4 linked regions of the Caenorhabditis elegans genome follow. The protein of the gene in region 2 interacts with the protein of the main gene of each other region in a pairwise test. Each region holds a gene or a part of one and is shown on either strand. Other genes may lie near its edges. The genes, in order: dyn-1, wwp-1, ubc-18 and wbp-2.

The links.
Region 1: the proteins of wwp-1 (region 2) and dyn-1 interact in binary tests that used the Caenorhabditis elegans proteins (3 or more experiments, as listed by UniProt).
Region 3: the proteins of wwp-1 (region 2) and ubc-18 interact in binary tests that used the Caenorhabditis elegans proteins (3 or more experiments, as listed by UniProt).
Region 4: the proteins of wwp-1 (region 2) and wbp-2 interact in a two-hybrid assay, tested with the Caenorhabditis elegans proteins (2 studies listed by BioGRID).

The regions. Positions count from the first base shown.
Region 1 is NC_003284.9:15,567,093-15,573,926, reverse strand, and holds dyn-1 (Dynamin), read right to left. Parts: upstream 5,007-6,834; coding exon 4,840-5,006; intron 4,775-4,839; coding exon 4,551-4,774; intron 4,370-4,550; coding exon 3,763-4,369; intron 3,718-3,762; coding exon 3,214-3,717; intron 3,167-3,213; coding exon 2,891-3,166; intron 2,357-2,890; coding exon 2,077-2,356; intron 1,973-2,076; coding exon 1,587-1,972; intron 1,414-1,586; coding exon of another isoform or gene 1,365-1,413; exon of another isoform or gene 1,332-1,364; intron 1,051-1,331; coding exon 978-1,050; downstream 1-977.
Region 2 is NC_003279.8:535,359-543,366, forward strand, and holds wwp-1 (E3 ubiquitin-protein ligase wwp-1), read left to right. Parts: upstream 1-1,763; 5' UTR 1,764-1,779; coding exon 1,780-1,885; intron 1,886-1,944; coding exon 1,945-2,202; intron 2,203-2,247; coding exon 2,248-2,477; intron 2,478-3,343; coding exon 3,344-3,553; intron 3,554-3,727; exon of another isoform or gene 3,728-3,884; intron 3,885-4,094; coding exon 4,095-4,369; intron 4,370-4,436; coding exon 4,437-4,650; intron 4,651-4,705; coding exon 4,706-5,026; intron 5,027-5,364; coding exon 5,365-5,625; intron 5,626-5,705; coding exon 5,706-5,927; intron 5,928-5,985; coding exon 5,986-6,273; 3' UTR 6,274-6,840; downstream 6,841-8,008. Other genes in the region: icd-2 (Nascent polypeptide-associated complex subunit alpha), read left to right, coding at 450-491, 541-948, 998-1,135. UniProt on the Caenorhabditis elegans protein: E3 ubiquitin-protein ligase which accepts ubiquitin from an E2 ubiquitin-conjugating enzyme in the form of a thioester and then directly transfers the ubiquitin to targeted substrates. Ubiquitinates klf-1.
Region 3 is NC_003281.10:7,067,186-7,071,172, forward strand, and holds ubc-18 (Ubiquitin-conjugating enzyme E2 ubc-18), read right to left. Parts: upstream 1,386-3,987; 5' UTR 1,356-1,385; coding exon 1,329-1,355; intron 1,283-1,328; coding exon 1,187-1,282; intron 1,129-1,186; coding exon 942-1,128; intron 834-941; coding exon 682-833; 3' UTR 501-681; downstream 1-500. Other genes in the region: ger-1 (GDP-L-fucose synthase), read right to left, coding at 1-17, 63-151, 199-255; R01H2.8 (uncharacterized protein), read left to right, coding at 1,918-2,073, 2,113-2,244, 2,289-2,375; tmem-17 (transmembrane 17 domain-containing protein), read left to right, coding at 3,096-3,134, 3,187-3,300, 3,349-3,471, 3,539-3,700; lin-37 (uncharacterized protein), read right to left, coding at 3,817-3,934. UniProt on the Caenorhabditis elegans protein: Ubiquitin-conjugating enzyme E2. Accepts ubiquitin from the E1 complex and catalyzes its covalent attachment to other proteins. Required for diet restriction-mediated lifespan extension, probably acting as part of a complex with ubiquitin-protein ligase wwp-1.
Region 4 is NC_003280.10:9,327,348-9,332,256, reverse strand, and holds wbp-2 (GRAM domain-containing protein), read right to left. Parts: upstream 2,484-4,909; coding exon 2,367-2,483; intron 2,271-2,366; coding exon 1,892-2,270; intron 1,392-1,891; coding exon 1,180-1,391; 3' UTR 730-1,179; downstream 1-729. Other genes in the region: eif-3.F (Eukaryotic translation initiation factor 3 subunit F), read right to left, coding at 1-13, 443-595; eat-3 (Dynamin-like GTPase OPA1, mitochondrial), read right to left, coding at 2,971-3,038, 3,222-3,489, 3,543-3,995, 4,040-4,832, 4,882-4,909.

The sequences.
Region 1 (6,834 bases), on a different chromosome or scaffold from region 2:
CTATCATTTGTTCATCTTTCGAAAGAAAACATATACCTACCAATCAATGAAGAAAATAAACGTAATAAATTACCAAAATGTGATTACAAATGATAATTATTTTCAAGATTGCTTCCGACCGCTGCAAACCAAACAATTTCACAAAAATTAGGGATTTTTCCAAGAATAAACAGACTTTCCTACATCTACATTTATAGGGCCAATGTTTTGCACAAAACTAATACTACATTTTTCCGTTTTAACTTTATTCCACTTTCACGAATAAATACAAATTCTACACAATACGTTTCAAAAATCTATAATTTAGGCTTTTTCAGATCATTCTTCTCAACGAGGGAAAACCTAGAAGAGCTTATAATCTAAGAAAAATCTATAAATATATTTACTTCTTATAAATATGGGCTTAAAATAATCAAAACTGGGATTTGTGGTGGAGGGGGAATTGGGTGGGATGAAGAAAGAACCTACAAATGCACTAAAAGAGTTTATACATTGGGTGGCCATAAAGAACATCTAAATAAATATAGGCAGACTGGGGGGGGGGGGTTATTGTAAGTGACAAAGTATTGCTATAGAAGAGTAGGAAAAATGTAAAGTTTCAAATCATAGAAAAAATAAAATCAATAAATTATTGAACAAAGTGAGTTTATAAAACATGCAAATAAAATTATTGGGAGGTGGGGGAAAAAAAGAGAAATAGGACTCGATTGGTTGTGGAAAATTCGCCGCTGACAAAGAAAAACACAGTTGGAACGGGAGAGAGAATGGAGAGGTGGATGAATTGACGCCTAGTTAGCGCTGGGACCAATGCAATCCTCAACGAGACTTGCTCAAAAGGTGGAAGAACTCGGGATATTGATTAATTTAAAAATTCTCAAAAAAAAAAAAGAAATGCTTGATAAAACGGGGGCATTGTACAATTACTATGGGAACGGTAATAGTATGACAAGTGAGCTAGGATGGAGATGTAAAAGCATTTAGAAAGGTCTCTTGGGGACTTGCGGGCGAGCTGGAATCTCTGGTGCTCCGTTGGATGGTGTCGGTACTCTTCTGAAAAAAAAAACAACGTTTCAGATTAATACTACAACAACAGAAAGCTAGACCACCATTGAAACATGCAAATAATGACGAAATTATGAAAAATTTGATGAGAAAGAAAAGTTAGCTTTTGCTTCTTTCTGTAGAAAAAATCACAGGAAGATAGTGGAATATAAAAATGTTCCGATAAAGTGCCAAGGGATCACAACACTAGATAGATGCTGCTAATACACATCACGATTACAACAAACAATTATACACTTCTCTGTACTGCTTCTTCGCGATTAACAAACCTTTGGTCAGTGGGGGAATTATTCACAACATTATTATCTAGGCGGTGCCATGTTGGGTGGTGGGCCGCCTGGTCCCGGACGCCTAGAGTGGTTGGTACACGTTAGTTTTAGGTTTTATTCTGACTTGTTGACAGTATTTTTTTTTCTAAATTTCAGAAAAAAAATTTTGACAGAAGAAAGAGTATGACGGACCAAAATAGGAAAGATTAGAAGAGATCTGGTGCTCTTTTCGAAAAAAAATAGGCATAAACTTACGTTGGAATCAACGGTGGGTACATGCCACCGCCGCCTCCTGGCGCACCTGGTGGTGGTCTCATGCCTGGTGGTGGTGGGGCACCGGGTCCTCCGCGTGGTGGCATTGGGGCCTGACGTCCGCCTGGTGGAGCAGGAGCCGGACGCGGCACCGGTGAAGGTCCAGATGGGTGTGGGCGGTAGTCAGACATCGGCAATGGCGGCGGCTGGTCGCCAAGGGTGCTCATGTTGACTTCAGAGATAATGCGGAGCGCCTCCTTGCAAGCATGGTACATTCGGAGCATCTCCTCGCGCTTCTGGGCTTCTATTTGAGATTCCTCCATGAGAGCATCAGTGTCGCCGCATTGGTAGAGATGGGCCAAAAGTTCATCTTTCATGAACTCACCTGTCTGAAATTATTGAGATATTTAGTTTAAGGTTTATTGTGTACGGTTAAAAAAACAGGCCGTGATGATATCACGATGAATCATTCAATTCTTTTAAAATCCCTCACCTGGTTAACAATCAAATGCATCACCGCCTTTGGAACCAGGTCCTTAATTGTCTTGGTAATGATTCTCATGTAGGAATCAACCAAATTACGGATTGTCTCCACCTGTCTCTCAAGTTGTGGATCAATCGAGGTATCCTCCATCTCTTGTTGGGACTCATCTTCCTGTGCCTTCTGCTTTTCTGGATAGACACCAGCACGCAAGAATGAAGCCTTCCACGCATCAATTTCGTCCAAATTGGTGCATCCCAACTCAAGCTGCTTGTAATCCTTGTAGATGTTCCTGGAATTCAAAGGGTTATGGGAGAAGCAAGTGCGTGAGGTCAAGGATACATGAGTTTACATCTTCATGCTGGTTCAGAATCTTTTATCTAAAAAGCATTTTGCATGCTGTATTTTTTTTTGTCTGAACTGAAACTGTCACAGCAGAGAAAGAGAAACAGGAAAAATAAGAAATTGACTACAGAAGTGAAAGGTGTTGGTTTCAAGGTGGATAAACTTTTCGGGTAAAAAAAATGAAAACAGATCACAAGGACGACAACACAAAGGTTTTTCTGTCTTACAAGTCATTAAAGAAGAAGAAGAAGTGAAGAAAGTAAACTATACACTCACCTCCTGCAAATTAATTTAATTTAAACAAATATTCAAAAAAAATTGATTTTGTGTGTGTGTGCGTTTTTTGTCTCGTTTCAAAACTCATGCTCAATTTAGTGTTCCTGTGTTTCTGCCTAATGAAACTCTAATGTGGAAAGAAAAGCGTGCGGGCTCTTGGAATGTTGAAATGGCAATCAAATCGCAAAATTCTTGAGTAACTCACTTTCCGTCGGGGTAGAACAGAGCAAACTTGTGGTTACGAGACATAAATCCACCCTCAATATCCTTCAGCTTGACACCATCCAATGGGAGCATGTACTTCTTCTCCTTCTCCTCATCATCTTTGTACCAACTCAAACTGTCCGACATGAGCACAAACCAATTGTCCTTGGAGCCACGCACAAACGATACGTTGCTCAGTGAGAGCCAGCCCTTTCTGATCACCTGGTTTCCAAGATTCTTCTTCGCTGATTGTCCTTGGGAGGCTTTTGCTTCAGCACTAAAAAAATAAAATTAAACATCTAAAAGCAAAGTCTAAACTCCTACTTGCTGAATCCAATGAAATCCTCATGGTTTGTGTTCATATAAGCGAGTTCGTAGTCAACAATGAGCCCAATTTGCTGCTTGGCAATTTGCTCACGTTCACGCATATGCGAGACGACGATTCTTTCCAGCTCGTCACGAAGACGTGGATATCTAGCCATAGTGTCAGCGCACTGTCTGATCACATTAGCCAACTCGTTGACCACCAGATCAACGCATTTCAACGATGGCTCCTTCAGACGGGTGATTTGCTTTTTGGCAATTGCCTCAAACGCCATATCCGGAGTGAAGAGACCGACGCGGATACCGTGAATGTTTCTGATGGCATACTGGATTTCTTTGCGCATTTCTTTCTCGTCAATTTCCATTTTAACAATCTCAAATGGGAAACGCTCATGGAAAAGCCGATTGATACGGGCTCCTCCACTGAGCTCATTGGTTGAAACCAGCTTTGCAGAGGAACCTTCAATGGAGCGCTCAATGTCAGCATTGAACTGGGTAACCATTCTGCAAAAATTTTGTTAATAAAGCACCTCCATTGAAATCACTTACTGCAAAAGAGCCTTGGTCTTGCGGCCTGGATCATTTGGCTGGTAGTTCTTGTACTCGGCCACATCCTTTTCCATAGCAAACATCTTCTTTTGAAGACTATCACGAAGTGTTGGCAGTGTATCACGGATATGATTGGTGAGCTGTTGATTAAGAGTGTGTTGAAGGTAGCTTGTTCCCAACCGATCAGCCATATGTCGGTAGGATGGGTGTGAGATGAAGAACTTTCTCTCGGCGTCCAAAGCAGCTCTAATATCCTTGCGACCGACAATATCCTTCTGCCCACGATTGACAACTCCGACGTAGCCACGACGAAGTGTGAACAGCTTGTTCTCGAGGATCTCGCGAGCATCGGTTCCCTCGTCCATCAAGTCAAGTTTGGTGAGGACTCCAATCGTGCGAAGACCCTGTGGATCGACTTCCTTCGCAAGTTTCAACGCATCCGAAGTGGCGAGATCGCTGTTGGCCGGAGTGACGGCAAGAATGAGGCAAGTCTCACGGTTGATGAATGTGAGAATCATGTCACGGATCTGTTGCTCAATATCTGCTGGTTGATCTCCGACGGGCACTTTTGTGAGACCGGGCAAATCGATGAGTGTCAGATTTAGAACTGAAAAATTAAGTATGAATTAATTAAAATGTGTGAATTTTTCCAGTGATTTTGTGCAACTCACTGTAAATTTATGAAATCTTTAATGCAATTTAAATTTTAAAAAAAGTTGCATAAGTCTGGTTTCAGATGCTCAAATCATCCAGCGCACTTGCGTTTCTGTGAGTTTCTAAATGCTTACCATTTGGAGAAAAGACACGCAAGTTGATTGGATGTGGACTGATTCCCTTATTCTGTCCAGTGACACGATCAGTCTCATCCTCAATCTCTTTCCGAACTGCATCAAAATCCACAAAGCGATGACCCTTCTTGTGTAGGAACTCGGCGTACTCATTGCGATCTTGAATAAGCTGCAAAATAAGTGGACGACGTGTTACGATTCCTGATCCACGTGGCAAGAAGTCTCTGGAAAGGAAAAAAATTGTGATTTTATTTCGCAAAGTTATGTTTTTTTTCTTCTTGTGACTCACTTTCCGACAAAATTCTCCAGCACCGACGACTTTCCAGCGGACTGTCCTCCGACGACGGCGATCTGTGGAAGTTCGAAGCTGACAGATGTGCCCAGCTGGGAGAAGGCGTCCTGGACACGATTGATCACAGGGATCAACGCCTGCATTCCCTGGTTTTGCCACGACATGGCTGATCCTGGTGGTTATACGCTGAACTACCTGAAAATCGATTTTTTTAGTCGATTAATGATATGAGGAAGAGCATTGAGAAGATTTAATGGAAAAAGCACGATTTCGCAATGAGGTTTTCGGAGGTTTAATAATTATGTTTTAGAATGAAATTTATCACCTTCAAGAATATAGAATATAAAATTAGAAAAAAAAATCCTCAAATCGCATTTGAAAAAACAAAATCAACAAATATTCAGAATCATTGTCGGCAAAACGGTGTTGAATGTTTGGAAAACAAGAAGAAGAAACGATCGGCGTACAAAAAAGCGCGGAGAGACTCGGAGATGCAGAGACTAAAAGTGAGGGTGAGGCAAACGAAATGACCGCAGTGAGTCAGCCTCGCAGTCAGTACTGCGGCGGGGAGAGAAAAAGGCTTGGCCAGCGACGGCGGAGAGCGTGCCAACACACACTCATCGCAAAACGCGTCAGCAGTAACCACGACAAGAAATTTCTTTTCACGAGGAATTTTATGAAGAATTTGGAGGCTTGTTTAATGAAAATATTGGAAAAAAACAGAAGGTTGTTAGATGCAAAAAAAAACTAAACGGGACACATTTGAAAAAGAAAATCCAAATAAGTAGTGGAGGAGAAATGAAAAATGAAAAAGTGGAAAACAAAGCGAACAGTTTTGGATTGCCGAAAACCAGAATTTGGCGGGTAGATCAATTCATTGTAAATGTTGTGAAATAGTGGTGTGGAGAGGGTGGCAGCCGGCCACCCTTCTGTTTGTAGTCTAACCACCTGCGTCTCTCAACTTACCTGCTATCTCGCTGGAAACGTGTGAATGGAAGTTAGTGAGCAAATAACATCGTTTCTTTAATAAAAAGAGGCAGACTTTAAAAATTTTTTTTATTGAGAATGGAAATGAGATGGATGACCTTTGGAAATTATGCAAAATAAAAATAAAATAAAATATTTCAAAATTGTGAAACTTTTACAACAGTCCGATCAGTACCGTAGGAAGAAAAGAAAAATCGTCATCTTAGCAAATATCGAGTCACAATTGTGACCAGAAATCATGATTAGTAAGAAGGTTTTTCCACGTTCTATTTGTTTATTAGAGACGAGGAAATTCATTTAGTCCAATTTGTTTAAACAAAATATGGAATTCATTATGATATTATAATTTGTAGAGAATTGTCGTATGTTCATGATTGTTAAATTGTATCACAGTTTTTCTTCTTTTTTTTTCAAGACAGGGTAGTACTGCAAATTTTTTTGGCAGATCTTTAAACCCGCCCGATTCGAAATAATCATCAAGCTCTAACACAGATAGATTGAACATATATATATGCATATCATAAATATGAAAAATATACTCATTTTCATTTAAAAAGTTGGGATTAAAAATAACGGCTTCAAATACTCCCTGAAAATTGTCACTTGCAGTAAAAACTGATGTTCGATTTTCTGACCAAAGGCGATTCTCTAGCAGGATTCAAGGTTTCTTTTCAAGTTTTATAGCAGAAACACAACATTTCAACCAGATATTACTTCAAAATTTTATTTCTGCTAATTTGGAAACTTGGATATTAATTCCGAAATTAACAGATTTGTAGGTTTCCAAACAAATTCCAGTTACTTCCTATTAGAAAATTTTACTAAGAACCAGCGGTGTGTAAACAAATAACGAATTTAACATTCCCATACTACTCCTGATAATGAATTTGTGACTAATCAGTTGATGTACAATGATTTCATATGCTCTGAAATTTATAAAACATTTATAAAACATGGTTTAAAAGTATTGAAAATCTAGCAAAATAGCTCAATTGATTTTTTTAA
Region 2 (8,008 bases):
AATTTTGTTGAAAAGGCTGCTGCAAAAACTTTGCCAGCAAAAAATTTTGTGCAAGCACGCTCCATCGCACAGTTTGAACGTCGCGGGTCGAAGTTAGATGTGCAGGTCATATAGCAAAAAGAGAAACACCCCTTTTTTTCTCGAGAAGTTTCACCAATTTTGCGCGATTTTTCAACTATTTTTTTGCTTTTTTGGCTTAATTTTGGCTCAGATTTTCCTCAAAAACATGAAAATCCAATCTAGAATAAGTAGTAATGGGTATATTCTAAGATTGTGCAAAAGTTAGCTTGAATTTCCTCGATTAAAGCTTTCCTACCAAGAAAAATGTGTGGATATTTTGAATTTACAAGTTTTTCATCTTTTTTTTGTAATATTCTCTTTGAAACTCCTGTTTCTCTCAAATTTGTAAACTTTCATAAACGTTTTTTTCAGGGTTACCACATTAAACAATGACCGGAAGCACCGAAACTCGCCAGAAGGAAGTCAAGGAGGTTGGTTGTTCAAAGTGACGTCTAAAATATTTAAATTTCTATATTTCAGCCACAAGTTGACGTTTCGGATGATTCCGACAACGAGGCCGTCGAGCAAGAGCTCACCGAGGAGCAAAGACGTGTGGCCGAGGCTGCTGGACTTGGAGATCACATCGACAAGCAGGCCAAGCAAAGCCGCTCCGAGAAGAAGGCCCGCAAGCTCTTCTCCAAGCTCGGACTCAAGCAAGTGACTGGTGTCTCCCGTGTCTGCATTCGCAAGTCGAAGAACATCCTCTTCGTCATAAACAAGCCAGACGTGTTCAAGAGCCCAGGATCTGACACCTACATCATCTTCGGAGAAGCCAAGATCGAGGATCTCACCCAACACGCCCAGATGTCTGCTATTGAGAACTTGAAGCCAACTCGTGAGGCCCCACAACTCAAGACTGTCGAAGAGGACGAGAATGAGGATGTTGAGGTAATTCAGTAACTTAATCGGATTTATTACATTAATTGTACGGTTTAAGGAGGATTCCACCGGCATTGAGGAGAAGGACATCGAGCTTGTCATTTCCCAAGCCAACACCACCCGCAACAAGGCCATCAGGGCGCTTAAGGAAGCTGACAATGACATCGTCAATGCCATCATGAGCCTTACCATGTAGCTTGTTTCCTGATGACCTTGCAGATACTCTTGTTATCGTTGTATCTCTTGCTTATCCCGTTTTCCGTTCCAAGTAAACGTTTATCAGTCTTTTTTAACTTTTTTGTTATGTTTAAAAAACAATTGCATCTTCGAATTGACCTACCTTTTACAGAAAAGAACAATTAAATCACTGTTTGTGTAAAACACCCCTCTATTGATCGAGAACTTTCACTTCTTCCAATTCTTTACTCGTATGACTGTGATTCATTTCACCTGCTATCACTTTATCATGACATTCCAGTTTATATCAACAGCAAATACCAATTGTGTGTATGTGAAAAATGCTATTGAATAGCAAGCGCGCCCCAACAAACACGTTTGAATGCGCGGGCGAAACGGCGTTAGATGTGCAGGTCATATGACAAAACGCATCGACCAGCAGCCAATGGCAAGTTACTGCGAGCTGTTATAGATTTTTTCACATGGTTTCCAGTGTTATCAGTTGGAAATCGATCGATAATACTGACTAGTAGTACTTAACATCTTCATTCCCACCGTTTCGCTGTCATTTGTGATACGTGGATTTATTTTTCCTTTCTCGCCGACTTTTCATTTCTAAATCTTTTCTGGAATTGCGAAATTTTCAGCCAGTTTCATGATCGAATGGCTCGTAATGAACCATCATCTCAGCAGCCGAGTAGTTCCGGGAGTAATGGAACTCCAGCACAACAAAACGGGTCGGCAAAACCATCAAAAGTCACAGTAAAAGGTAACAATTCGTAGATTTTTTGCATCTGTTCTAATAATATTTCCCCCTCTTAATCATAGTCGTCAACGCGTCGTTCACCAAGGCAGCCGACTGCTATGTCGAAATCACGAGTGACACGTCATCGGCGGCGCCAAAAAAGACGACTGTAAAGAAGAAGACGATGGCGCCCGAGTGGAATGAACATCTCAACGTTCATGCAAATGAATCTTCGACAATTTCGTTTCGTCTATTGCAAAAAGCCAAGCTATTCGATGACACGTGTCTAGGGATGGCGAAGCTGAAGCTTTCGAGTCTCACAAGAAATGAGAATGGAGAGTGTAAGTGGTTTTATTGAAATTTTCTCAAAAAATCTATTATTTCAGTCAAAAACGACATCAACAATATATCTTTGCTGGCCAAAGACTCCTCGAAAATCGGAACTCTCAACATAATTTTCTCCGGATATCCAGAGCGGAAACGAAGAAGCGCAGGAGTACGAGCTGAAACCGCCGCGTCTGCAAGTTCAGAGGCATCCACGTCAAATGGCGTTGCCACGTCATCCTCGGCGCGGAGACCGGCGACAGCGAAGCGTGACACTTTGGCGGCTCCAACGGTAATCGTGACGAGACCCATTTTGAATTATTTAATTATTCATGAAACGCTCTACTGGAGTGTTCATAATTATTAGAGCGCGCTCGCGCGGCACCTCACGAACTCCAGAATTCGCGAGGACAGCAGTTTTTGGCTATTTTGGCTTCTATGGAAATTATTTTTAATTTTTTGATTTAAAATATTGTTGAGAAGCATCATCCAAATTGAAAATGTGTAAAATTATGAAATTTGACCGAAAACTGAAGGTTTTACAGAGAGGAGTCACCACGGCTTTCTTTAAAAAGTATCAGTACCGTCAGTATTTCGATTTCAGAGTCGTAAAATATGTCATTTTGTAGAGAAACGTCTGTTTCACAAAAATCCATGTTTGATATTTTAATTGTTTAATTTCTAATATAAAAATATTCAAAAAATCAACAAGTTTACGTTAAAATCGAATTTTTCAATCGTTCAGTTTTTAATAAGAACAATTTCATAATTTCAAACATGGATTTTTTTGAAACAGACTTTTCTCTACAAAATGACATATTTTACGACTCTGAAATCGAAAAAACTGACGGTACTGATACATTTTAAAGAAAGTCGTGGTGACTCCTCTCTGTAAACCTTCAGTTTTCGTTAAAAATAATTTCCATAGAAGCCAAAAATAGCCAAAAACTGCTGTCCCCGCGAAACGAAATCCCGCGAATTCTGGAGTTCGTGAGGTGCCGCGCGAGCGCGCTCTAATAATTATGAACACTAGAGGAGAGCGTGAATGAGCGTTTTTTATTCTTTTCTCTGCATTTTTAATGCTACAGAATCATACACAAAATGTTGTCAAATACATGCATTACTCTACTACTCTTAATGTTTACTTTTCATTTGCAGAGTACCGCAGCGGCGGCAGCAGCAGCAACAGCAGGCGGCACCCCGGCCGCCGGAGCAGAAGAACAGCTTCCCGATGGATGGGAGATGCGTTTCGATCAATACGGACGCAAGTACTACGTGGATCACACCACCAAGAGCACCACGTGGGAACGCCCGTCTACTCAGCCATTGCCACAGGGATGGGAAATGCGAAGAGATCCGAGAGGAAGAGTGAGTTTTCCGGCGGAAAAAGCAGATTTAGCACGAGAAAAGCGTTTCTGATTATATTTTTGATGCGAAAATCATCAAAATTAAAAATATCTACCGTAGCCGCGGATACCTGGACCAAAATGCCGAAAAAAGTGACCTGATAAATTATTTTAAGGCTAAAATCTTGATTTTTACATAATTAGTGTCTTATTTTTGTTGATTTCTTGTCAAATTTTTGTAATTGCATCGAAATAGGCCAAAAATAAAGTAAAAATCAACTTCCAACACAGAAAAACTGACAAAATTGAAGATTTTTGCTGAATTCAGGCAATTTTTCGTAATTTTGATCCTCCATAATTTTTTTTTTCGAGAAAATTTTGAAATTTTTTCTTTAAATACGGCCTGAAAATTAGGAAATTATAACGACGGATAAAAAATTCTGATTTTCTTTATTTTAACCAAGGTCTCCAATTATTTGATAATCGAAAAAAAAAAAACTTTCCAGTGATTTTTACTTGAAAAATGTCTAAAAATTCACGCCAGGTGCACAATCCATTTTCAGGTGTATTACGTGGATCACAACACGCGCACGACCACCTGGCAACGACCGACAGCCGATATGCTTGAAGCACACGAACAATGGCAATCGGGAAGAGATCAGGCGATGCTTCAATGGGAACAACGTTTCCTTCTCCAGCAGAACAACTTTAGCGCCGACGATCCACTCGGACCATTGCCCGAAGGATGGGAGAAGCGTCAGGATCCGAATACGTCGAGAATGTACTTTGTGAATCATGTAAATAGAACGACACAATGGGAAGATCCGAGAACACAGGGGTATGTGAAAATTTTCAATTTTCCAATAATATTTCTATCAAAAATCACAGTTTTAATGTTTTAAAAGTTTCAGAGGCTCCGACCAACCTCTTCCGGATGGTTGGGAAATGCGATTCACCGAGCAAGGCGTTCCATTCTTCATCGATCACCAGTCTAAAACCACCACCTATAATGATCCAAGAACCGGAAAACCCGTCGGCCCGCTCGGCGTCGTCGGTGTTCAAATGGCCATGGAGAAGAGTTTCCGGTGGAAAATTGCACAATTCAGATATTTATGCTTGGTAAGGGAGGGCGAGAAATTCTTTGATTTTAGCTATAAATTGATGTAAATTTCAGTCAAACAGTGTGCCTAATCATGTCAAAATCACAGTATCCCGTAATAACGTGTTCGAAGACTCATTCCAAGAAATTATGCGTAAAAATGCAGTCGATCTACGCCGGCGGCTGTACATTCAATTCCGAGGCGAAGAGGGTCTCGACTATGGAGGTGTCGCCAGAGAATGGTTCTTCCTGCTGTCGCACGAAGTGTTGAATCCAATGTATTGCCTATTCATGTATGCTGGTAATAACAATTATAGTCTTCAAATCAATCCAGCTTCATTTGTTAACCCGGATCATCTTAAGTATTTCGAGTATATTGGACGATTCATTGCCATGGTGAGTGTTTTTTTTTAATTGAAAATCAGTTGAAAATTGGATGAAAAATTGCGAAATCGAGAGAAAATCGAGTTTTCCGCTTTTTACAATTGAATTTTAAAATTTTAAACGTTAAATTTTGCAGAAAATTCCAAAAAAAAGCACTTGGATCTAAAATTTTTGTTTTTTGATGAAGGAAATCCTTAAATATCGATTTTTTTTATTTTCAGCTCAAAAAACCTGGAAATTTCGATGATCTCAAATTTTCAGATCAATATATTTCATTTTCTCCTAAAAATGTTATTTTTATTTAAACAAATAGTTTTTCTTAGAAAATTCCTTTATTTTCAAATTTCCAGGCGCTATTCCACGGGAAATTCATCTACAGCGGTTTCACGATGCCATTCTACAAAAAGATGCTCAACAAGAAGATTGTTTTAAAGGACATTGAACAAGTCGATTCGGAAATTTATAATTCATTGATGTGGATCAAGGATAACAATATCGATGAATGCGATATGGAGCTCTATTTTGTTGCCGATTACGAGCTGCTCGGCGAGCTCAAGACTTATGAGCTTAAGGAGGGCGGTACAGAGATTGCTGTTACCGAGGAGAATAAGGTGAGATTTTGGATTAGCTAGAGCTTATAAAAATAATTTTTAAATAAAATAATTTAATTTAAAAAATCCCAATTTTCCAGCTTGAATACATCGAACTGCTCGTTGAGTGGCGCTTCAATCGCGGTGTCGAACAACAGACAAAAGCCTTCTTCACCGGCTTCAACTCGGTCTTCCCGTTGGAATGGATGCAGTATTTCGATGAAAGAGAGCTCGAGCTGTTGCTCTGCGGAATGCAGGACGTTGATGTGGACGATTGGCAGAGAAATACTGTCTACAGACATTATGCTCCACAGAGCAAGCAGGTAGGGGAGAACATTTGATTAAAACTTCTTTTTTTTTAATTAAAAAATACATTTATAGGTAACCTGGTTCTGGCAATGGGTTCGAAGTCTGGACCAAGAAAAACGTGCCCGGCTCCTACAATTCGTCACAGGAACGTGCCGTGTGCCAGTCGGTGGATTTTCCGAGCTGATGGGCTCGACGGGACCACAACTATTCTGTATCGAGCGTGTCGGCAAGGAGAACTGGCTCCCACGGTCGCATACGTGCTTCAATCGACTCGACTTGCCGCCATACAGAAGCTACGATCAGCTCGTCGAGAAGTTGAGCATGGCGATCGAGATGACGGAAGGATTTGGAAACGAGTAGTCTCCCGTTGTTTTTTTTTGGTTTTGCTGGCCGCCTAATTATTGTATAACCCTCATATTTCTTCTCACCCACACCCCATTGATTTTCCTTTTTTTTCTCTCCATCAATTAATGTTTCTTTTTTTCGAATTTGTGTGATAATTTTCGTGTTGTGATACCACTTGCTTAGGTTCTCTCTCTCTCTTTCCTTTCCTTCTGGGTATGTACCTATATTTAGAATATAGACAAAGCATCTAGTTTTTTTGGATTTAATTTCCAAATTTCCCGTTTAATTCCAACAACAAAAAAACAATTCCACCACTTTTCAAATATTTTTTTTGTGTCCATTGCTTCATTGCTTTTCTTCTTCTCAACCATTTCAACCACCACCACCCAATCTGCGCCTTATTCTTACTTGGTCCTTGTCATTCTTAGTTCCAGTTTTTTTCACGGAAGCAGCTCTCGATTATTAATTCAAATGCATCCCCCCAACCAATCCGTCACCCCCCGATTAGAACAATTTCTACTTTTTTTTTTGAAAACAAAAAAAAACACAATTCCTCGATTTGGTTGTAATGAATTTAATTTTTTAAATTTTGAGCCTTTTTTGTTGTTTTAGGTTTTCTTAACTTTCAGAATTTCCATGCGGAACACACGGAGAGCAGAAGATCAATATTTTGAACCCTGCAGGAGAAGGACGGGACCCTTTGGTCACTCATGTCTCGGCTGTCTGCGTCTCTCCTCTCTCTCTGCACCAGCGGAGAGGATGGATAGCCTCATTCGTTTTATTTCGGACTTTCGATTTTTCTTATTGCTCCACGTTTTAGCTTTTATCAGATTCGGGGAGCTCTTGCTTTTTTCTTGATTTTTTCGTAAAGTGTTCTTGGGTCCCGCAGCGAAAATTAACTTTAAAATGATTTTTTAAAAACTTTCTAAAAATTCATTTTTTTTTCCATTTTACGACTAGAAATTTCGAAATTTGAAAAAAAAAACCGTGTTGCAAATGCGCTCCAGCGTACAAAACAAAACCGCCACCAAAAAATTTAAATTACTGAAAAAAACGATGAAATTTTGAATTTGTTTTGCCATTTTCCGGCAATGATTTTTTAAATAAAAAAAACTGTACAACAAATGCGCTCCAGCGAACTAACCTTCAAATTACCGAAAAAAATTATAAAAATTTGAATATTTCCGATTAACCCAAGAAAAGAAAAATTCAATGATTTTCTTGAAAAAAGTTATTTTTTTCTCAATTTTTCGTCAATAATACTCAAAATTTGAAGAAAAATTGTGTAGCAAGCGCGCTCTAGCGAACCAAACAAAATGTCTCCATTGAAGCGTTTCACGAGGTTCTGGCCTACCTCATTGAATTTTTCGCGCTCCATTGACAATCGCCCGCCGATAACGCGTGGGAAAGTCGTGTACTCCACACGGACAAATACATTTAGTTTTACTACAAATATCGAGCCGCGACGCGACACGCAACGCGCCGTAAATCTACCCCAGATATGGCCGAGCCAAAATGGCCTAGTTCGGCAAAAACTCTTCCATTTCAATTCATGAGGGAAGCCAGAAATCCGTGATCCAAGTAAAAAAAATCCCAAAAATTTCAATTTGCAAGGGCGCTCCATTGAAAACTGTGGCGCCGATCGCAACTCACGGTCGAATTTGAATTTTTAGTTGAAAAAAAAACACCAATTTGAACTGAAAATTTGAATTTTCAATTTTTTCCCTAAAATAAATTGTTCAGAGTTTCG
Region 3 (3,987 bases), on a different chromosome or scaffold from region 2:
CACTTTCAAACAATTCCCTGAAGATTTCCATAAAATTTTATATAATTTCTCTCGACTCTTACCTAGTCTCTTCTAAATTCTCCAAATCACAATCTTTACTTCCAATAAAGACCCATTTCTCATCGTCTCGCTTTTCAGTAGTTTCAACTACCTGAATTTTTGGTTATAGATTTTTAGATTATAACAGATATATTCTACCTTTTTAATAGCGCTTCCAACTAAGCCAGTTCCTCCAGTAACTAGAATAGTTTTCATTGTCTGAAAATTAATGAATTTAATTTAAATTGAGCGCTCTAAATAGATCAGAAACATGAAGAAAAGTAGCAAAAACTGGAGGAAAAGCGCAATCGCCGGTGCATCGAAAAAGCCACGTTTAGTCGCGTCGCGTTAAATGAGAGACGTGAGGACGTAGAGACGCAGGAGATACAACACATTCGTTCGTTGTTTTGCATGCACAGCCGTGTTGTTATCGGCAACATCATTCAATTTTCTGCTTATCTACCAGACCCGGTTCAGGATTTATTTCAGTTCTTGCTTTGGATGTGGGAAATCAGGTTGGAATTGGATGAAATTGAAGTGGATTGAATGATTGGGACGGTGAAAACGAGAATATGATAAATACAGAAAAGAAACATAAGATGAACTCGAAATCGAACGAATTTAGATCTGAGCTCTTGGCGCCTATTCAGGCCGCTTTTCGGCGTGCTTTCGAGTGTGCTCCTCGGCGGTCTTCATGAACTTTTTGTGATCCTTTTGGAACTCCTCGGCAACGTCGGCACGAATTGGATGGGATGGTTCTGGTTCGTTGATCAGTGACAGCAAGGCCATCATCACTGAAAAATTACGATATTGAGAGAAGCCAGAATAACTTTTTAACTAAATTTAACTATTTCTACGATGTAAACTACCCCGTTCCTTGTTAAATTAAATGATATGCCTACCTTGCTCGGTCTTGGTAGCTGGCTTCCAGTTTTCAGCTGTCACAATTGGAAGACAGAACTTTCCTTCCTCATCAACATTTGGATGGTAAATCTTGGTCTCGAACGCGACCTTTGGTGGCTTGAATGGGTAGTCAACGGGGAACGTGATTCCAACTTTGAACGCACCTTTGTTGTATGGCTCCTTATCCTGAAAATTAAATTTAATTGAAAATTAAAATTATTTTATTAGTGAACAAAGTTCTTACTGGGATAAGGAGAACTGTCCATTTCAAGAGATTTGTCTCCTCGCACTCAACATTCTCGTACGCCTTCACTCCACAGTTTTTGAGATCACCGAGTTCCTGAACATTTGAATTGTGAATTGTACAATAAACATGATTTTCTCACCTTCTGAAGACGCCGTGTCGCTGACATGTTGATATAAACGCTCTAGTTGGGTTAACACTGAAATATAAAATGTTATGAAGTTTCCTAACAAATTTAAAAAACAAGCCAAAACGAGTTCAAACAAAGGATATATTGATTTCGGCTGGAACTGGTATGACTTCCAAGAGGATCATCATGATTCTTGAAGTTAGTAGATTTAAAATAAAATTTACAAGTTTTTGAAAGTGGTAAATGGTGACAAATAATGAAATCATTGACCAAAACAGGTTGTCAGCATGAAATTTGACTGTCGGCAAATCTAATGCTTTGTACGCAAGAACACCGCAACGCAGAAATGCACAGACAATTGGCGCCAGATTCAAACGATAATATCTTTGTCAAAAAACATGTCTAAAAATAAAACTAAATCACTGCATTGATTAAAAGACAATGAGAATATAAATTCAGGGTACATCGAGTTAATGTATAAACTCGAATATCAGGCGCTACGAGTGTGTCGAGTTGTTATTCAGCAATGTACCTCGAATCGTTGCCTAGGCAACACGCTTAAAAGTGACGAGTCCACAAATAAAATGATTTTCGATTCCCAATGAGTTCAACACTACAGAACGATTTTCTGACTGATTTAGGAAAAACTAATTTAGATAAGGAAGCAGAAAACTTGGTAACTCTAATATTTTTGATTGTAATTTTTACAATTTTCGCGTTAGCAGTCATTGGAGCAATTTTGATAGGATGTCTAAAGGTTTGATTTTTCTCAAATAATCTAAAAGATTTATTTCAGCCTCAATGGTTCCGCCTAAATATTTATCAAGACCCCGTTCCAAAAATGGCAGACTTTTCATGTATAAACGTGTGTATTCCATGTAATTCATGCTCTTTACGTCAGTTACTTAATGGATGTTGTCCTAGATTAGTGAGTCTACAGTAGAAAGATCTACGAAAAATCAAAACTTTCAGCATTTAAAACAACGATTCAACTTCATAACAACGTGCTGTGACCGACCGGGACCCGAAAAATTAAATCTTGTTTGCTGTGTTGTTTAATTGTTGTAAATAGAATGAATAACATTATGTATTAACGAAAACTACAAAGATTTTAACCATTCCGCTACAGTAACCGCCAGTACGGTAGATTGCAATTTTCGCTGAATTTTCTAATATTATTATATACTCTTTTCGATAATCTGCTAATAAATATACAGATGTACAATTAAAATCATAAAGTTAATAAACCCTCAATGTGAAGTTGCAAAATATTAGCAAGTCCGGTAGCTGAAAATTTTAGCTCGTGGCAAGACCCGAGAACGTAATGCCACATTTAAGACGAGCCTGATTGCAGAGCTAAATGAAGGGATAAAATCATTTTAAAAAAAAACTATGAACAATCAATGGTTAAAATTTTCGCGAAACATTGTTTTAAAAGTTTAGGTTCATGTTTTGACGAATTATATTTTGCTCATAAAGAAATAGCTGAAATTGTAGCTTAACATTTTCTCAATTCGTTTTACACATTTCCATCTCCATCTCCACATTGGAGCACCATTTCCCTTTCTGTGGTTGGTTTCCATAGTAACCGCCCACCGCCTCGTAACCTCTTTGGGGTCCTAGTGCTATTAAAAATGGAAAATCTATCACAAGAACCATTTAAGTTGGGTGAGAATCTCTAAAAACCACTTTTCACAACTTTTTTAAAAAATTATTACAGAAATAATCTCAAGTTTTCCACTTCAAATTGCAATATATTTCAACTTATGCATCTATCCTATGCATTTGATTAATCTATGCTTATCATTATACTTCAAGGTAAAAAAAAAAATTACAGTGGAACATACTTAGAGCATTATTTGAATTTCAGCATAGTCTGCTGTCATTAACGTATCAAGTAATTGCATTTTCTGCGTGTTTAGTTCATTTGGGAAGTGAAGGAGTACGGCTAGGACTTGGATTTTATGGAAATTTGGCAGAAAATGTAAGTTTTGAATGAGTCAAGTCAGAAAATCGACACTAGTGTTTACAGATGTCAGCTCTTTTTGGATTCTTAATAACTACAATTATTATTCAAATTCCTCTTACAGTATTCTTGGCAGTGAATGGCTCTTTTCTGAATCTCCCACTTGAATACGTTTTCTACACAATGATTGTGATTTTTAGTGGATTTCAAGTGAAAATTCAAAAATCTGAATATTCTCAAAATATTTCTATTTCAGACTGTATTCGCTATAGAAGCTTTGATGAAAACTGCCGAACGAGAAGTTGCAAAATATATTAACAAGATTCAACAAGAAAAAGTAGCTGACGAGCTCGAGAAAACTTCAGGAAAATCTCCAAAAAGTGGAAGAAAAACGTTGAAAAAACAATTGTCAAGATGATGTATTTGAATAAACCCATTATTTATATGAATTTTAAAGTGAGATTTTTGAAATAAGAGACATGTGATAGCAAGATCAGAAAGTAAGAGATAAATTGAAATTACATGTTAGAATATTTAAATAAGACCAAGTGCTTGCTCGACAGTTTTCGACTCTCCAGGCTGGTAGATTTTGTTGATTAATGCTATGCTTCTTGCATGGGGAGCAGTCCGACGACGTTGATGAGCACACCAACTGAAATTTTTTTTTTTGGATTCTCTGACTTTGAAGAAATAGTAGTGATCACA
Region 4 (4,909 bases), on a different chromosome or scaffold from region 2:
AACAATTTGTGACCTGGAAAATAAAAATTGGAGAAAATATCATGAATTCCAAAAAAAATATTATTAGCGAAAATCATCCATTTTGCAAACTTTTCAGGGTTACAGCGGCCAGAACTTGCTTCTAGTTCCACAAAAATGCAATAAATTGTAATAATTGAATATTATTAAGTTCCGACCTTTGTGACACGGGAAAGCTTGCAAAATTGAAGATTTTAGCTGAAAGTATACTTTTTTCAAAATTTTGGCATATTTTTGTGTGAGCACTTGAGCATTCGGTCATTTTGAGTTTTTATTCGTTGTTTTAGATACTTTTTCGGTCGATGGTATTTACATAAAATTAAAAAAATTAGATTAAATACAGTTCCAGACACCAATAAGCTTGCAAAATTTCAGTTTTTTCAAAAAATTAGGCTCTTTTTTCTGTAATTATAAATATTTTTACCTGAATCGATCCTTTCTCATAGTATCCCATAAGTGTTCCCATGCACTTTTCCTGTCCTGTATTTTTCGCAGAACTCTTGGTACGTCTCATATGAGTGTCGACAACATTCATGTAGACTCCCGGGTGGACATTGACAGTTAAATTCGAAGCCATATTGACTTTTTTCTGAACCCTGTAATTGAAAAAAAAACTAAATTAAAGAAATAATCTGAATCAAAATAGTAAATTCAGCTGAAAACTGAAAAATGGTTTTGAAAAAATCAATAAAAAATATAAAGTTCTTAATAAATATTTTAAATTATTTATTTATTTACAATTAAAAGAAAAATTGTGTTTTTCAACGAAAAAAAAGAGAAAATAAAATAAATGTTCTGTGAATCAGAGAAAGAGATATAATTCCACTTATACATATATACTTTATCCTGGGAACGAGAGGGGGCATCAAGAGAGAGAGGGCATAGACTTAGTCTACCGAAAGTTTATAGTTTTATCACAACTTTTACTTATATTCACATGAGATTTTTAGAGAGACGTGCAAAAATTAAAAAAAAAAACAAAAAATAAATGGTGGAATTTTAGATAGTTTTTGTGTGCAACTAGACTTCTGAGCTTATTTGGAATCATTTTTCGATGCGGAAAAAAATTATGGGTAAATTGGCTTTGTTTTCTACGTGTTTCCCCATAATTTTGAACTAAACACTTTCTCTAATGTCATTTTTTGTTGTTAAATTTACAAGTTAATTTCTTCGCCTCAATCCATCGGCTGTTTCTCCTGAACCATAAGCTGGTGGTGCTTCAAATTGTCCAGCAACATGAAGTTCTTCAGTTGGATGTGGGCCGCGTTCTGGTCCGATTCCTGGATATGGTGGTGGTGCTGAGCTCATGAAAACTCGTGATGGGTTCGGCTGATCTGGGAACGAATCGGTGGTTGGATTGAAACCATTTGGTCCTGAAAATGTGAAATCTATTATTAATCGGATTAACCGGGGAATAATTTTAAAATAAAAAAAAAGTTAAATGCGGTTTAATATTATTTTTCTAACGAATTTGATAAGAAAACCATTAAATCCAAAGAAAGATGGTAAAATCAATTCAAAAATCAACAAAATTGTGAAACAAAAATGCAACGAGGTGGAAGAAAGTTGCATTAGAGCACGTTTTCATTTTTGCAAAACTGTCTGACCAGAACTGAAGATTTTTGGTATTTTTAGCAAAAAATCTCTCTTAAACAAAAAGTGATCGAAAAAAAAAAGAAAAAACTCGTTTTTTTAAAAATTAATCTTTAAAAAATTTTAAAAAATGTTTCAAACTTGGATTCCTTTTTTTTTCGTTTTTCAAAAAAGTGAAAAATGTTCAAATTCATACAAATCTCTAATGATTACGCTTAACATTTTTTAGGTAATTTTAATTTCGAATTCAGGATTATTTTTAATGTTCAAAAAATCTTACCTTGATCCGGCGACGGCTGATAATAAGCTGGCGGTGCAGAGTAGAAATCTCCAATTGGTGGAGAATATGCAGGTGGAGCATTCTCTGGTCTCATTCGAACAGCTCTTTCGACTGCTTGCAATAGAGATTGCCCGAATTCAATACATCCCCCTCTGTTGAATGTCATTCTCCATTTAACCTCTCCGCGCATTTGTCCTCCTTGAACAGCCGAGGCGATTCCACATAGGTAGTTGGCTCCGAAAATCGGCTGGTTTAAGTTAACATCTTGCATACTGTTGAATGGAATTTCAAATGATTTCAGCCAATCTCCAGGGTCTGGCATGAAAATGATTCTGTGTGATGTGAGGTAGATGGTTCCCGTTCGACGTCCTTCCAAATTCTATAAATTCGAAAATATGATTATAATTTTCAGCATTTGTGCTAATGAAGATTTTTGGTGTTTAAAAGATATGAAAAAAATACTGCAATAAATTACCTCATTTTCACTGGTTCCTAGTGTCATTACTACTCCTTGTGCAAAAATCACGATGGTTTCTCCATTATACAGTAGGACACCAAGTCCGTCCGGCGTGTTCGCCGTGTTGATGGACATCTAAATATAAATTAAACAAGTGGTAGCAGGATAAAAAAAGGTACCCAGAAGCGGATTTTCTATCGAAAAACCGAAGCATAATACGAAAAAAAAACAAATGAAAATGTTAGTTTAGGGAAAAATCTTCGTTTAAATTTTAAAAAATTATAAAATTGGGGAAAAAGCACAATAATTAGAGACCTAGATCATATTTACAACAAAAAAACCGGTTCAAAGTTGAGATAACCTATCAAAAATTGAGGGCAGGCAAAAGACTAGCTATACATTTTCGTGTCAATGAAAGGATGGAAAAATAAAATAAAATGGCAAAAAAGCACCAAAAAGCCGTGATGAAAACTTACAAAAACAAGTGACAAAATTACATGTTTTAGAGAACCTATTTTCGAGTCTATGTGATAATAGAACTAGAAACAAACAAACAAACAAACAATTGCACACACCTAGAATCTAAGAAAATCGTTTTAGCTGATCAAACATCGAGGAGATTTCAGATTTTTTCACGTTGTAATTGAGCCATGAACTCTTCGAGTTTCTCTTGGATTCGGCGAACTTGTTCTGAAATGGAGAATGTATAATTTTGTTTTGAATGAAACTTCGCAACATTTTGAAATTGAAAATGGAATCTCAATTATAAAAATTTACATTACATTTGGAATTTAAAGAATTTTAAAAGTATAACTTTGCATGAGAAATCCAGGTTTTCATTAATAAAAATTTGAAGATCAGAAAAAAACATACGAATTTCTTCTGCAAGATCGACACGTCTTCCCGTCAAATATTTCTTTTTAATATCTGGCTCTTGTGACCAATCATCCAACACCTCCTTAATCTCTTTTTCCAGCCTTCTGTGTTCAGTATTTGTGATTTGTTGCCGCAGTGCGTTACACGTCAAGTTGACCATCTTTTGGATTCTGTAGAAAAGTACGATGGTTTGGCAATCGATATCTTGTCCTTCAATCATTCCTTGACGATACATCTGATACATCGATAGACAGTCCTTGCTGCTCTGCAGAAAATATTTTATAAAAATTTAATTTCAAATGTTTCAGTCACACTTACATTAATTATCCTCTCCAAAAAGTGCTTCTTAAATACTAATTTCCATTGTTTTCTAATCGATTCAGTGGGAACTTCAAGTACGCCTTTCGTCTCAATATTTCTTCTGATTACAGTAATATCATCATCAGTCAACGCCTGTTTGTGCTCTGGATCTGCTCCTAAAATTGAGTAAAGCTCGTCCTGAATGACACATGAATAATGATTATCAGCAGTTGGGGTCTTCCACATTAGCCATTTCGATGCCCAACCCGGTCCTCTGTCGTCAGTAAGCTGCTTCTTCACTGCTGCAAGACGTTCTGATGCAGCCTTGTGAAGGAAATTGCATGCAGCATCCCATGATCGTTTATCCTGAACAGCACGATCCTCCATTGCATTCAATTGAATTACTCGGAGATAATCCATCGCTTTGTCATCCCATCCGTGCGTCAGCATAGCTTCTTCGATTACTGCTTCCTGGAATTAAATTATTTAAATTTTAATCATTCAAAAAAAACTACCTTTAAAGCATCAAACACTGGATCATGATCTTTTTTCGTTCTGGCATCTTGATTAATTTGTCTAAAGAAAACTTCTTTCAAAGTATCCCATCCGGTTTCGATGCTCTTTTGAGCCAGTTGCTTATCAGCAAAGTGTTTCAACTTGATATCAACTGTTGTGTTGAAAGATCCGGAACTTGAAGAAGCATACGCAGGCATCAATATCTGATCAAAAACATGTGAAGATATTCCTGACCATAGTTTGTCTTGAAGTAGTTTCTCCCATTCTTCAACTCCGATTAACGATAAATTCACAATTTCATCCAGAATTTCTCCTCTTGCTTTGTCATATAACTCGTCACGATTTAGTTGTCGTATTCTCAAAAAGTGATTCTTCCATTCAGCTTCTAAATTAAATTTGGCTGCTCTAAACGCATCAGTTTGACTTTCAATAGAATCCCGAACCATTCTCCAAAAACAATCTGAAACTGCCAATGACATGTTTCGAGTTGTCATCTGCGATGGTTTCAGAACACCATCCCGTAGTAACTGGCTTGTTGAGAAGAAATTCTCCTCATACTTTCTAATTTCATCGATCGAATCCGAACTGTTTCCTCTTCCAGTCACAACTCCGAAATAGCCAAGAGCCTTCATTGGAAATAGCTTTCCTTCAAGGATTTTCTTGATTCTATCAGGATTGGCCAAGTTCTTCTCAGCCATATCGACTTTTGTAAGAACTAGAATCGTGCGTTTTCCTGATGGATCAATGCTACTGACCAGGTCAGTTACGTTGCTTCTTTCCGCGTCAACCGATCTAAAATTTGAAAACTTCAATGATTTTCAGAAAAAAGATGAATACTCACCCATCCTGAATGCATAAAATGATTGCAT